Oryzias latipes: one gene and its partner. The protein of the gene in region 1 purifies or fractionates together with the protein of each later gene. This does not show direct contact. Links are inferred from orthologs where the notes say so. Each region holds a gene or a part of one and is shown on either strand. Other genes may lie near its edges.

The links. Proteins that work in one complex are often made in the same cells at the same time.
Region 2: the proteins of signal transducer and activator of transcription 1-alpha/beta (region 1) and irf9 purify together in Homo sapiens (affinity purification with western blotting; 5 studies listed by BioGRID and IntAct, with this or other methods). This does not show direct contact. The link is inferred for Oryzias latipes from reciprocal best matches to the Homo sapiens genes STAT1 and IRF9.

The regions. Positions count from the first base shown.
Region 1 is NC_019860.2:3,990,134-3,997,334, reverse strand, and holds the start of signal transducer and activator of transcription 1-alpha/beta, read left to right. Parts: upstream 1-3,112; 5' UTR 3,113-3,245; intron 3,246-4,565; exon of another isoform or gene 4,566-4,587; 5' UTR 4,588-4,606; coding exon 4,607-4,734; intron 4,735-4,817; coding exon 4,818-4,962; intron 4,963-5,036; coding exon 5,037-5,132; intron 5,133-5,211; coding exon 5,212-5,298; intron 5,299-5,389; coding exon 5,390-5,468; intron 5,469-5,539; coding exon 5,540-5,631; intron 5,632-5,699; coding exon 5,700-5,851; intron 5,852-5,927; coding exon 5,928-6,086; intron 6,087-6,167; coding exon 6,168-6,260; intron 6,261-6,343; coding exon 6,344-6,403; intron 6,404-6,484; coding exon 6,485-6,505; intron 6,506-7,201. UniProt on the Homo sapiens protein: Signal transducer and transcription activator that mediates cellular responses to interferons (IFNs), cytokine KITLG/SCF and other cytokines and other growth factors.
Region 2 is NC_019878.2:23,622,857-23,629,840, forward strand, and holds irf9 (interferon regulatory factor 9), read right to left. Parts: upstream 4,858-6,984; 5' UTR 4,745-4,857; intron 4,427-4,744; 5' UTR 4,384-4,426; coding exon 4,327-4,383; intron 3,464-4,326; coding exon 3,341-3,463; intron 3,276-3,340; coding exon 3,095-3,275; intron 2,806-3,094; coding exon 2,678-2,805; intron 2,551-2,677; coding exon 2,466-2,550; intron 2,396-2,465; coding exon 2,336-2,395; intron 2,262-2,335; coding exon 1,872-2,261; intron 1,786-1,871; coding exon 1,670-1,785; intron 1,451-1,669; coding exon 1,283-1,450; 3' UTR 251-1,282; downstream 1-250. Other genes in the region: emc9 (ER membrane protein complex subunit 9), read left to right, coding at 1-53; E3 ubiquitin-protein ligase RNF31, read right to left, coding at 5,935-5,982, 6,060-6,225, 6,752-6,848, 6,916-6,964.

The sequences.
Region 1 (7,201 bases):
GAGGTTCTGAAGACATGGTTCCTGCTCCGATCTTCAGCTCCAACTCCCACAAACACCGCCGTCCTCTTCACTGCAGCTCCGATCGATCATCTGCTAGTCTCACAATCACAGCAATCCACGTTGTCTTTCCGTTCAACACTTCTTCACTCATTTACGACACTTTGGAAAATGCTGAGAGTTCCCACATGAACCACGTATCGTCCTTTCTGTCCAAAAACCTCACAAACGTCCCAACAAAACACCACCGTCTTCTCAACACAAGCTAACGCTGCTAGCGGCCCTGTTTGCTCTCTTCTTCTGTCGTTTAATGGCGGTCATGGCGCTTTAACGCCACCTGCTGGTTGGAGCGTGTCTGTCGCTCACACAATGTCCATGGCGGCTTTAAAAAAATTCAATTTTTTTAAGTTTATCGGCAAATGATAGACAAACAGGCAATTTTCATAAAAGGAAATCTCGTGTACGAGCCTGTAGTAATCTCTGTTGGGATTGAAAGTGATCCCCAGCCTCCCCAGATCCGGTGATGCCTTTCGTGGTCATGTTTGGACTCTATGCAATGCTCCTCAAATATCCCAAAACACTGACCAACGCGTTGGAATTCATTCCAAAGATTTACTTGCTTTAGAAGGTGGTAAACTACCACAAAGGCTGCAGACCCTCAAAAATGACTTGATGATACATATGTAAAACTAAGTTGAAACAATACTATATAAATAGAATGAATACTATAGTCATCTTTCTTTAAATAATACCTCAAAAAATTGCACTACTCTGCATTTGTTCAGGCAGTATAGGCCCAAAGTACACACTGCCTTTTCTCATGTAATGCAGAGGTTTTGCTTGTTTTGACATTTTTTCTTAATTTATTTTTCTTACACCACTGTGAGTTTTTGTTTCCATTTGATAGTGGTTAATGTAAAACGGTTATATTCAAGAAAAAGTTCCTTAACAGTTTACAATATTAGTGTAATTTCATAAAAACTGCTCTTTCTGCTTTACCTGAGCATTAAAGCGACAATTATACCTTCAACCAGTTTTTTATGTAACTGTTATTGAGATATGATTAAATTCATTTAGACCTTGATATTTGTGTGAAGATGCGAAACATGTTCCCAAAAGGATGCAATGTCTGGTTAATGCTTTAAAAGTTTGTGCGAAAATGTGTCTTCTGTGCGTAAAACGTCGACATTTTTTCGTACATACACAATAAGTGTGACCAAAAAAGTACAATGCCTGGTCAATGGCTTTTAAAGAAAAAAAGAAGGTTGTGCGTAAATTTGTGTTTTGTACGCTCAAGTCGACATTAGTGTGTTGATAATTTAGATGTGTGCCTAAAAAGGTGCAATGTTTGTGTAAAATATATCTTTTGTGCGTAAACATTTTTTTATAATTTGTGTGTAAATATGTGCAATGTCTAGTTTATGCTTTAAAAAAGGGAAAATTATTGTGTTTTATGATTTAATAATAGATTTTTCTCTTGTTTTCTGAATTTTCTTTTTTGCAGTGATGGGTTTTCCTCTAATCAATGTTTCTTTAAATTATCCAGAAAACTGCTTTTTTGTTGTTGTTTTTCCTGGAAACAGCTAAAAAAAAAATCACCAGTCTTTCCTCAATATTTGAACTGTGAAAATAAATAGTTTATTACTTACTTTATTATGCACCTCAAGAAAGCTCCGAAAAGATATTAAAGATATTAACCAAAAATGAACTAATCTTGTAACCTTTTCAGTGACACTTACACATGGCTTGTGTGAACGTAGCATAAGAGAGGAACACCGATTTGACCACATGGCTGTTGAAGCCCAAATTGACTTCCCCGGGTTCTGATTCAGAGTCAGAAGGATCCTATAGTTGAAGGTTAGAATAATAAGACTTCACACCCTGAAACTTTGGTTCGCCTTTGCAAAGGGAGAATTCCAGCACAGCTGCTCACATCTGCTCCTCACACAGACTGTGCTAAAACTCTGCTTTCCCCTTGTCGGACAGCTCTTTTTATTGATCCACACATAATGTATGCATAACTTACATCCTGCTCAGTTATTTTTAACAAAGCCTCCAGGTTAACTCACCTTTCTCTTTTGACCTTTGTCACTCTTTATTTCCTCTTTTGATCTTTGTCTGAAGCTCCCTTAACCACATCCTGCACATCCTCCAGGTTCACATTCTAACCTTTGTCACCCTTCACTTGAAGTCACAAGTTATCATACACCTGTCTCATGTTTGCTTGACTCACATATAAAACATTAATATACTTTTAATTATAATTCCCACATGTCATAGTGGTGTCGGTGTTTGTTTTGTTGCTTCCACATTGGCCAAATACGACATCATACAACCCCTTCATCTTCACAAATTGGCAATTAGGATTAAGGACGGCGATAACTGCAATGGGAAAGGCGAGAATCTAGCAGTCAAGTATCATACATGGGAAAACCAGATTTAAGGACATGTTTTGGGGGGAAAAATGACACAAAATTGCGAGCTACGTAAAAAACAAACAACAAACAGACAGTTGAATAGACATTAAAACTAACTAAATTGGTTGGGTTAAAAACTAAACCTTAAATTCAAAAAGTCAATTATTAACTAAAATCAAAAACAAAACTACAAAATGTGTATGTCAAAAAATAGAAAAAATATTTGTGTATACATGTTATATCAATATTTATAAAACTAAAGCACTACTTTACACTCTAGACTATTTATAGTGTGATATTACATCATTTTCAAAGAGTAAATCAATAAAATACACTAAATGTTATACTTTTATTTAAGTTTCAGTTTTACCCCTTTCTCTTTCTCTGAAAACACGTGATCCCGTCCCGCTGTTCTACTACTTGCGTTCCCTCCCTCCGAAAAAACGATTCTTATCCTGTTTTTAGAACTCGTATGAGGATTTAGAGACTGTGTGCAACCTTCGGGGTCTTCGTAAACATAAATTAGTCGTAAAAATATAATCCTTCGGTCATTTTTGACCAAATAAAGTGATAATTCCTTCTGTTTAAGCGTTGTGAAAAGTTAGTGTTGTAACTCAAGGAACAGCCTCGTGGACTGTTTTCTGATTGGCTACAAAGAAGACGGAGGCGGGAAGGCGCCGGACGTTCTGAGCTGTGATTGGTCTGACCGTCCATCGACGGAAGCGGCGTGTCTCTGCCTGCCAGGCTCCTTTCCTCAACATTGGGAAAAGGAAAAACTGCTCAAATACAGCAGAATTGTCTGAAAACGGAACCAACCTTTAGCTGTGAAAGGTAAGTTTGGCACCGCGTTTGACCGACTGTGTGTCGCCATCTTTGTCTGCCCGTTTAGTTTAGTTGCAACAACAACCTGAACACGGCTAAAGCTAGTGATAAACTTTAGGAGAAAACTCCATAAAAAGCACATAAATAATGCAGTTGTGACCCTTTAAATCTTCACATGTTTACCAAGTAGCTGTCGTTTGTGCTAACGCTTTAACATATAGGCGCGACGCGGGACAAAACAAAAGATAATGAGAGAAAAATGCATAAAATAATAACAAGTTTGGTGTTTTTTGTAGTGCCGCCTTCATGAAAGCTCGTAATAACGGACTCTTCATCCTTGGCAACGTTTTTAACGACGAATTGCGTCACATTTTATGGTTATTACGCGTTGTAATGTGTCTGCAATTTACGAGTATGTAATAAACTATGCATAGACATTAAAGGATGACAATATAGAACAGTAGTGAAAGATTTAAGCTAAAGTAAACAATTTTAGTGACGTTACGTGAAGTGTCTGCAGCGGTGCCACCGTCAATAACTTTATTTAAACAAGTGGGTTAACAAATCTGTGGAAATTTTTTCTAAAAGTAGAACCTGAATGAAAGTTTTTGTTATAAATTATTATTATTTTCTACTGGACGTGAGTCGAGGAGGATTTATGGTGTGAGCTTTTATGATTTGCTATGTCGTAAACTGCAAGAAAAAAAGAAGAAAAAACCCCTGCTTTGACCTTTGACCCCAGAAATGACAGGATTGTCTGAATTTTTTGAATTATTCTATTGTTTATGTGGTTTGTGCAGCCTTCAAAGCCAAACAGGCATTTGTTTGTTTAAATGAAGATTCGGCCACCAAAATGGTGCGATTTCTTCCTTTTTTGAGGTTTCATTTTACGTTTTTTTGTTTTAAAGTCTTTAATGAAAAAAATGCGAATTAATGTAAAAGTGAAAATTTGAAAATGATTAAAAATAGGAACAGAAATGCTGCGAGTATTTCTGATTTACTTTGTCTTAACCTGCAAGCAAAGACCACACCTGCCTTAACCTTTGACTCTAGTAAAGACAGGATTGTCAGAATTCTTTGAAATATTTTCTGTATTTTTGTTTTTGGAGCACAACCACAAAGCAAAAGAAGTATTTGTGTATTTAAATAAAGTTTTGTGATGGCCTAGCCATCAAAATTGTGAAGTTTGGAGAAGTTTCTTCCTTTCTTTTAGTTATTTTTTCCCCCTTTCTTCCTTGGAAATATTTTTAGCAAATTCACATTGAAGTGAAAATTTGAACAGCGTAGTTAGCATCCATGCTAATTCCTGTTTCTTTGGTTTTCTATCAATGTTTTGGTAAATTGTTTGCAGTTCCTGACCTTCCCAGAAGATGGCGCAGTGGGGCCAGCTTCAGATGTTGGACTGTAAGTACCTGGAGCAGGTGGACCAGCTGTACGACGACTCCTTCCCCATGGACATCCGCCAGTACCTGAGCAAGTGGATCGAGAGCATCGACTGGTAATGGCGGGCAGACCGGCGCTCTCCAGCTTTGCGCCTCGGCCCACGCCGCTCACCTGTCCAACCCCTCCCTCCCCCTACAGGGACACGGTGGCGATGCAGGACTCGCTGGCCACCATTCGCTTCCACGACCTGCTGGCTCAGCTGGACGACCAGCACAGCCGCTTTGCGCTGGAGAACAACTTCCTGCTGCAGCACAACATCCGAAAAATCAAAAGGAACCTGCAGGTCCGAGTCCCGCCGACCCCTCCGACACCCGGAAGTCGCCGGCGCCACTTCACCGCTGTTCTCTCCCTTTCCAGGATCGGTTCCAGGAGGATCCGGTCCACATGGCCATGATTATCTCCAGGAACCTGAAAGAGGAGCAGAACATCCTGGCTAAGGCGAAGAGCATGGAGGTGAGGCGTCTTCGCAGACTGCGGCGCCGCTCTGTGGGCCGGCGTGACAAAGGGGTGACAGAGGCGTGTGTTTGTGTAGCAGGAGGGCGAGAGCACGGTGTCCGCCATGGTGGTGGAGAAGCAGAAGCTGGACAACAAAGTGAAGGAGATGAGGGACCGAGTCCAGGTGGGGTTCACACGCCACGCCGCCACTGCAGCCACTGCAGCTCCTGCAGCCGGCGGCGTCTCCTAACCCCGGGGGCTCTCGGTGTTTTCAGATGGTGGACGTGAACATCAAGAACGTGGAGGACCTGCAGGACGAGTACGACTTCAGGGTCAACTCCCTGAAGAATAGAGGTGAGGCGGCGTTCCGGCGTGGACGGGATCGGGAGCGCGGCCTCGCCTTTCATCCCGTCTTTTGTTGGCAGAGAACGAGATGAACGGCATGACAGCGAAGGAGCTGGAGAAGGAGAAGATGGGCATCGCCCGGATGGGCTTCGAGCTGAAATCCAAGCGTCAGGTGAGCCGAGGCGTCGCCGCTGAGAGCCGGCGGGGAGGCCTGGGGGCTCACCCGCTTCCTCCTTCCAGGACGCGGTGATCCAGCTGAGCGACCTCCTCACCGTCATCCACGCCCTCCTGACCGACCTGATCTCCGAGGAGCTGCCGGAGTGGAAGCAGCGGCAGCAGATCGCCTGCATCGGCGGCCCGCCAAACGCCTGCGTGGACCAGCTGCAGAACTGGTGAGAACCCGCCGAGGATCTCCTTCAGCGAGGCGTCCTCCTCCGCCACATCCTCTTCCTCCTCCTCGTCTCGCAGGTTCACGGCCGCGGCGGAGAGCCTCCAGCAGGTCCGCCAGCACCTGAAGAAGCTGCAGGAGTTGGAGCAGAAGTTCACGTACGACAACGACCCCATCACGCAGAAGAAAGCCTTCCTGGAGGCGCGAACTCTGGAGCTGCTCAAAAACCTTCTCTCCAAGTAGGCTCCTCCCCCTTTAGACGGTTTGGTGTTTTTTTTTTTGCAAAGCGCCGCGTCAGCATCTCCTCCTTCTGTGTGCAGCTCCCTGGTGGTGGAGCGGCAGCCGTGCATGCCCACCCACCCGCAGAGGCCGCTGGTGCTGAAGACCGGCGTCCAGTTCACCGTCAAACTACGGTAAGGCCGCTGCGTTCCGGGAAGCTGGGTGAGACAAACCCCCCTGGAAAGATACGGCTAAACCCCGCCTCCCTGTCACCCAGGTTTCTGGTGAAGCTGCAGGAGTTCAACTACCAGATCAAGGTCAAGGCCGTGTTCGACAAGTAAGACTTCTGACTCTCTGCCGCGTGGTGAAGTCGCTGCTTTTCACAGCCACTAACGCGTTTTCCTTTCTGATGCTTTAGAGATGTTACGGAGAAGAAAGGGTAAGTTCCAGACATTTACAGTCGCCCACAAACGCCCCATCAGAGGTTAGATCTGTTTTGTTGCATCTTCAATTAACTATTAACAGTATTTTTTAATCAGACCTTAGTTTCAACATGATGATTAAATGTAAACCTTTATTGACATTTTTATTTGACGTTTAAATTGTGTCCAGAGGCACCAATTCTAAATTTAAATATTAGCATTCAGGTTCTAAAACTTAGCAGTTATGGAACAATATTTCTCAAATGTAAAAACAATATTTTTTAATTTTGTTTTTGAAGACTTGTTACAACTTGTTAAATTAGGCTAACACATGTCAATTTAAACAAAAAAAGTCACTTATTAACAAATAAAAAAGTATATTTGTTTGAGTACACTGATTAAAGAATATATGTATTCTAATTTTTACTGTAAAACTCTATTCACAGTTTTTGTTCCAAGTTGAAATTGTGTTGTATTTTAAAGTCCACCAGGGGGCGCCAAATCCCCCACATTTATTTTTTTAAAATAATGCAGAAAAGAGGCAAGAAAATCACCTATTAATACTAAAGCAGAGGTTAACAGTAAAGGGAAAAAGAAAAAAATGGTTTTTAAATTTTAGAATTGTAGCAGGAGCTCGTCTAATTAGCCTGAAACAGTTAGCTACATATGCAAATATTTTATCAACACAATTCCTTTAACCACACATTGGTTTC
Region 2 (6,984 bases), on another chromosome or scaffold:
AACTCAACGCTAAGATTGCGGAGCTGTCCTCGCCCCCCAACGGGAACATTTAGCCCCGGAGGGGGCCTCCATTATTTCTGTGTTCAACCCACCCCCTCCCAAGCAGGGACATCTTTCTTTCAAAGGTGTGGGGGCCACAGACTGACCTGTTGGTACATCCCAGTCTTCCACCCCCCCCCTCTCCTGAGTTTGCTTGTGGTCCAGTCCCGCCCCCACCCGACCAAACTAACTTAAAGTCACTTTTAACCCTGCAGCTCTTGTCTTGTGGTTTTTCACACGCACAAAGACAAATACACGCGCATGTGCACAAACACACAGAGGGTCGCACACATACAGAAATACACGCACAAAAATGTGCAAACACACAGACGTACACAAACAACTACACGTGCACACATATATGCAAACACACAAACGTGCACTTGCGCATAGATTTGCGCACACACAGATACACATTCAAGTACACATGTGCACACACCCAGACATATACACGCACATAGACATGCACACGTTAAGCGCACACACTCACAGACAAATGAACGTGCACACATATGTGCAAACAAATACACGTAAACGTGCACTCACTCAAGCATATGTACACACACGTGCAGTTGTACATAGACGTACAAACAGACGTGCATGTTAACGTGTGCACACACACACGTGCACAGAGCTTGTCCTTCAAACAGGAGGTGTCCCTTCCACAGACAGGTGAGTTTGCAGCTCCAGCTGGAAAACGAAGACGATGTGATGAAGCTGCAATCCGTCTTTTTCACTTTGGAAACCTTCGATCCTCCGTGGATCCACCTCCTCCACGGATGAGTTCTGCTGCCTTTACATTTCAAACGGGAACGTTCGTGACTTTAATCCCGAACATTTGCAGTGGAACACGTGGATGAAACTCAGGAAAGTCCGGTGAGCATCTTCATCTCACAGAGAAGACGATTGGACGGATTTACCGACCAGAACATCTGATCATCAGGAATGTGAAGCTCTAAGCTTCTGAGGAGAATGTGGAAGCAGGAAGTCACACTCCAGATCCCAAAATAAAAGTTTGAACTTGTTTTTTTCCTCCATCTTCTGAGGAACGTTCATGTATACAACGTTCCTTCAGTCTTAGTGTTTCCTGATCTGAAAACCTTCAGTTCACTTGATTTTTGGGGTTGAAGGTTCAAACTTGGCGTAAAGGTGAAATAGAAGTGCTGGAGATGTTTGTGCAAAAACTCCTTAGAGCAAAACCTTCTGGTTGCTCGTCCCCCCCCTCCCTCGGCGGCGCTCCCGGTCAGACGGAGGGAGATGTTGGTGGCTCCTGAGCTGCTGCCGGCACCGACACCAGGTTCAGGGTGATCTCCCCCAGCGGAGACTGACTAGCCAGAGTCTGGAGCACGGAGATGGACTGAAAGATGGAGAGGGCGTTCTGGACCTGCTCCTCCGCCCAGGGAATGGAAACCTGCAGAGGAGGTGTAGACATGGAGAGGATGCTGAGGAGGAGGAGGAGGAGGAGGAGGAGGAGCAGGAGCAACACCTGAGCCTAAAAGCAGGCCAGTTCTGACAACCCCTTCATCTAAAAAATACTACAGAATGTGAAATGGGTCAGAAATAACAGCATGGTTCTGGTTCTGTCTGTGTGTGTGTGTGTGTGGGGGGGGGTCTGAGTGGACCTCCTCACCGTGGCGGTGATCAGTTTGGTGCTGGGGTCCTCTGTGTGAGACAGCTCCTCCCCAAAGCACAGAGTGAAGCTGCACTGGGGGGGCTCGCCCCCGCTGGTCCGGAAATGATCCAGTTCTGCTCAGACGGGAGGGAGGGGGGGGTTAGGCAGACAGAAACATGAGCACCAACCCCCCTCCCCCCCATTGGACAGTGGGACTCACGCTGCCTGAAGATGTCTTTACTGAAGAGCAGCACCGGCTCCGTGTTCCGCTCCATGCGCTGCAGACCCGCTTCACAGCCATGCGGCCCGGTCCAAAAGACCCGCCCCTGGCAGAACCTCTTTCCGTAAACGCCCTGCGGTTGGGAGGTCAGCACCACCCCCCTCTCCATGAAGGGCAGCAGGGTGAAAATGGCTTGGCGCTGCTGGCCGGCGGGCAGCGTGGGGGGTGGCTCCGGCAGCAGGATCCGCGGGAAGCTCTTGTTCAGGGCGGCCGGCGTCGGCGGCAGGGCGGACGACGGCTGGTACAGGATCCTGACGTCGGAGCCGTGGATCTGCCGCCGGGCCACCTCCTGCCCCAGATACTGAACCGCCACCACGATGGAGTCCTGACCTGCAGACAGCAAACATCCCCGTCACCGTCCGGGGAGGGCGGGGCTTCACGAACGTCATCCCGCCTCCCGTTACCTGGAGCAGGGGGGGAGACGCTCTCCTCGATGCGCACGTCCAGCTGGATCTCCCCTAGAGCTGCAGAAACGCCAAACCCGTTACGGCGAGGAACATCAAGCAGAATCCTTCAGTGGGGGAAAAGACTCACCGTCGGTTTGCAGGACGGTGCTGCTCTGCGGGGGCTCCTCCATCGGTGACGGGATGGCGCTCTGCAGCAGAAGCTCCACCTCCAGCTGTTGGAATGAGGAGGAAGAAAGCCTTCATGACCTCCCCGCCGTTTCCGATAGCAACCAAACCAACCAACCCAACTTCCTGAAGGATGTTCAGCGGGAGGCTTCGGCACCGTCCCGCCTAACTCGCCTGTGGGGGCGGAGCCTCGTCGGTTTTCATCTGTTTGACCAGACTGGGTTCGCTCTGGGCCTCGCTGCCGCGCCTCTTCAGCTTCCTGCTGCCCTTTTCCTTGCTTTTCTTCTCGGGCATCACCAAACCTGGAGCGGGAAGTACAAAAACCTGCCGCGTTAGCCATGCGGGTGGGGGCGGGACACCGCCACAGAGCGCGCTCAGAGAGCACCAGCATGCACGGACTAACTTAGATATTTCTTTGAATCTGTAGACGTCTATTACTAAATGATTCATTAACTATTTCATGTCAAATTTTTAAACTTCTGCAGGAAAGATAAGGGGTTAGATAAGAAACCAGGAAAAAGTAATAGAGACTCTAAAAAAAAAGAGAGCCTCATGGTTCAAATTGGGGGGGGGTAAGCAAAGTGGCCCCACCCTGCTCGCTGATGGGGACGAGCCGGTAGACCTTGTAGGGCTCCGAGATGTCCAGCTGGGCTCGCTCCGGAACCTCCTGGAACTCCGGACTCTTGTTAAGAGCGCAGCGGAGGCGCGTCTTCCAGCCAGCCGGGTTGTCCTCACCGCCGTCCGTCAGCTTTCCCTTAAACTCCGCCCACGCCTGCAGACACGGAGCCGTCAGTCTTTAGCAGCCGCCATCGCTCCGGTCCTGATCCACATCCTCACCTTAAAGATGGCGGCGTCTTCGTCTTTACGAAAGTCCTGCTTTCCGGCGTGTTTCCAGGGGATCCGGAACATGGTTTTGGCGTCGTCGTCCCACATGACGCCCGGGTACTTCCCGCTGCTGACCTGTGGATCCCAGAAGACATCAGAGGGTCGCTGGTTTGAATCTTTTTGTAGTTTTCCTCCTAAATGTGATCCAAACACAGAAGTGACCGTTGCAGTTCCACAGCAGACCACCAGAGGCAGCGATCTGCTGAACCCCCCAAAGTTAAAAAGTCAATGTTCTTAAGATGATGGTCAACAACTTTCCCAAACCATTGACGTAAAAACGAACGGACGGCTCAACCCCCCCCCCCCCCCCTTTATGTTCCCAAGGAACATAGGGGGGGGGGGGGGGGGGGGGAGGAAGTACCATTCCAGTACCGGGCGCCGCCATGTTGAAACCAGTCGACAGTGATTGGTGCAGGTCACTCTGGGTTATGGTATCTATGGCAACTACTGTCGGCATCGCCATAGATACGAGGACTCAGAGCGACCTGGACCAATCCCTGTCGACTGGTTTCAACATGGCGGCGCCCGTATCAGGAAGCAGTGGCGAGGGATTTGGCCTCATTTCGCCAGAGCTGGAGGTCAGGCATGCCCTGTGGGTGACGTCACGCCTCCATGCGTCCGTCGTCTATACAGTCGGTGTGGTGAAAACCAAACTTTGGAACACATGACATCAAACTGTGAGCAACATTTAAAGAATCTACGTGTCCGTGGCTCATATGAATGAATAAGGTGTATCTCTGCAACACACAGAGATTATATATGCTGCAATATTTACACCATCAGTAATCCACAAGATTGATTGACATTAGAATCCAGGTTGACGTGTTAAGTTTACCCTGACCTTTGTCTGAAGGTTTTAATGCATCAACATATACCGTGTTTACTTTAGGACAGGGCATTTTATCCCCCCACCCCCACCCCACCTGGAGGAGACTCACCTGCTCGATGATCCACGAGCGCAGCTTGCGCGTGGAGCGCATCCTCACCGCCACCATGGCCTAATAAAACGGGTTTTTTTACCTAACAGGCGGAAGTAACCTGTAGGCATAAACAAGAAAACGCGGTTATTTATTTATTGATTCATTGAGTTGAACTAGATCTTTTTTTTTCATCATGACACCTCAAACTAAAAAAAAAAAAAAACTTATAAACAAGTGACAGAACAACAGCAAAACGAGAAGTGTGCGCGAGCGCGCGCGGTCCATGTTTTTCAGAAGAAGATGATAAGCCGAGCTCGTATAATCTCGCATGTTTCGGACCGAAACTTTTCAGTTAATCTATTTTTATAACAGTGAGCCCTAACACCCCACCCCCACCGCTCCCCAAATCCACAGTAACGGAATTAGGTTTCGTTACCTCTGCGGTGTTTCCTCTGTGAAGCCGTCGCTTTCTGTTGCTCTCAAGTTCGAATCCGTCAGTCCCCGTCCAGCCCCCGGACACAGCCTTTTCCCCGAAACCACGTGACTTTACCGAAACGACCCACCGCTGACCGCTAGAGGGCGACAAAGTACACCGTTTATTGTGTTCAGGAGAACAAAACACAGAAACAAACACTCGGGATAGAAAAGCAAACAAAAAGACATAAAAAAAGGGTCGACTCCACATTAAAGCATTATTCAATTAATTTGCTTCATCTGTCCTTTAGAAAAATACATTTTCAATACCAACAGGGGTATCTCATCAGCAGTCATTCAAACCAACTACATCTTCTGACTGGATGGTTCAACATCCAGTCAAAATCAAACCCTGTGCAGGAGAAAATGACACAAAAATGCCAAATCTAAAAAAATGACAGCTAAAAAAGATGAACAAAAATCAACTGACATTAGGATTCTACATTAATAAAAATGAGTGCTTCCTTTCTGAACCTTTGCGCTTCTGTTACCCTCAGTGTAACCAGCCAAAACTTCCCCACAGGGTAATTACCCAAACATTACACTCAAAACTTCTATACTTCCTTAAAATATATTTTAAAATAATAATAAACCATTTAAGGGTACACGGTAATCACACAACAGAGCAAACTTGAATAAGTGTGATGTCATGTCCTGTTTACCAGTGTGGAGAAAAGAGTTATGACGCATGTTCCCGTTTGACAGTGAATTCTGGGTAATAAATGCCAGTAGGTAATTTTAACTCTTTGTCACATGGTGAGAAAATAAGGCAGAGATGCAGCCCAGAAAAAAACGATGTTGACTTGCAGGCAGGTTTGCACAAGTGGAGGAATGAATGAAAAGGAAGTGTAGAACAGGGATCCTCAACCCCTGGACTGAAACACAAAAACTCACAGACGCACAACGGATAATCTCACTTCAGGTTTATTCAGGTCAATCCAACATTTTAAAGAAACTACAATCATGGTTCCACCTGATTTTTATTGAGCGGGTTAGACAGTCAAATCGGAACGATCAGATCTTCAAAGATGAAAATGATTCGTGGCATGAAGCCGAGACACGACCACAGAAGAGCAAACGCCGTCAGTGAGGGGAGACAATCCTCCATCACAGACACAAAACTCAAGCTGATGCCACTTCCGCTGCGTTTCTTCATGTTTTTCGAGGAACTTTCTCTCCCAGAGGAACCTCCATCAGTTTCTGTGGGACACAGCAGGACGTGCATGAGTGGGGGGTGTATCAGCCGTGGTTAGGCCGTCCCGCAGCTCACCACTAACCTTCAGCAGGCGGGCGTGGTAGTCGTTGTCGTCCTCCGCCTCTGCCCTCTGCGTGTCCACCTGGTAGCGCTCACAGGCCCGGGTCAGCTCCTGGCTTTGGTAGAGCGGCGCAGGATCCAGGGAGTGAGCGTTGATCAGACTCACCAGGTACTCTCTGTAGTGTTTGCTGCAGGGCAGACAGGGAGTAGAACCCGCAGCTTCAGAGGAGCTTCAAAAGCCTCACAGAGATGCTGATGTCCCGTCCTTTGAGGAGAAATTTCTCCTTTTGATCTTTACTGTTTAGCTGCTTAAATCCCCACTAATATATAAAGTCTTTGTAATTTAAACTGAATTAATGTGTTCTCATCAAAAGCTTCATTTCTGCTAACCGGTGATTTCAAATAAAAACAAAAATGCCGTTTCTGCCAAGTCCCACCACCATTTTTTTATTCATGATGAAGCCGTTTTTAGCCAAAATGTAAATAAATGCTGTTGTTTTCATAGTGTCTGCAGAGCGGCAGGAGTTCATGACAAATCTGACACTGAGTCGGCCCCCTTAGTAACCCCGCCCCCTCTTCCCCTCGCCATTGCTGAGAGTTCGTGGTTTCTACGTCACATATGCGACCTTGTTCCTCTGCCCCCGACTCATGATTGGAATCAGGAAATCCTCCGATACGTTAAAGCAGAGCTCATAATGCAGACGTTTTACTCACTCGCAGAGTCCCGCCTGACCCGGCTGCGTTTGGACGCCGCAGGGAGAGTCCACCTGCTGCCCGCCCTCGTCTTTCTGCTCCATCACGCCGCAGGCGTCTGCGTCAGAAGCACTTTAGAATCCTCCAGCCTTTGGCGGCGGAGCGGCGGGCGGACACAGACTTACCCGTTTGAGCCCCGCTGGACGGATCCGTGTTGTAGCCGACTCTGTTCCTCTGAGCACAAAAAAAACAGA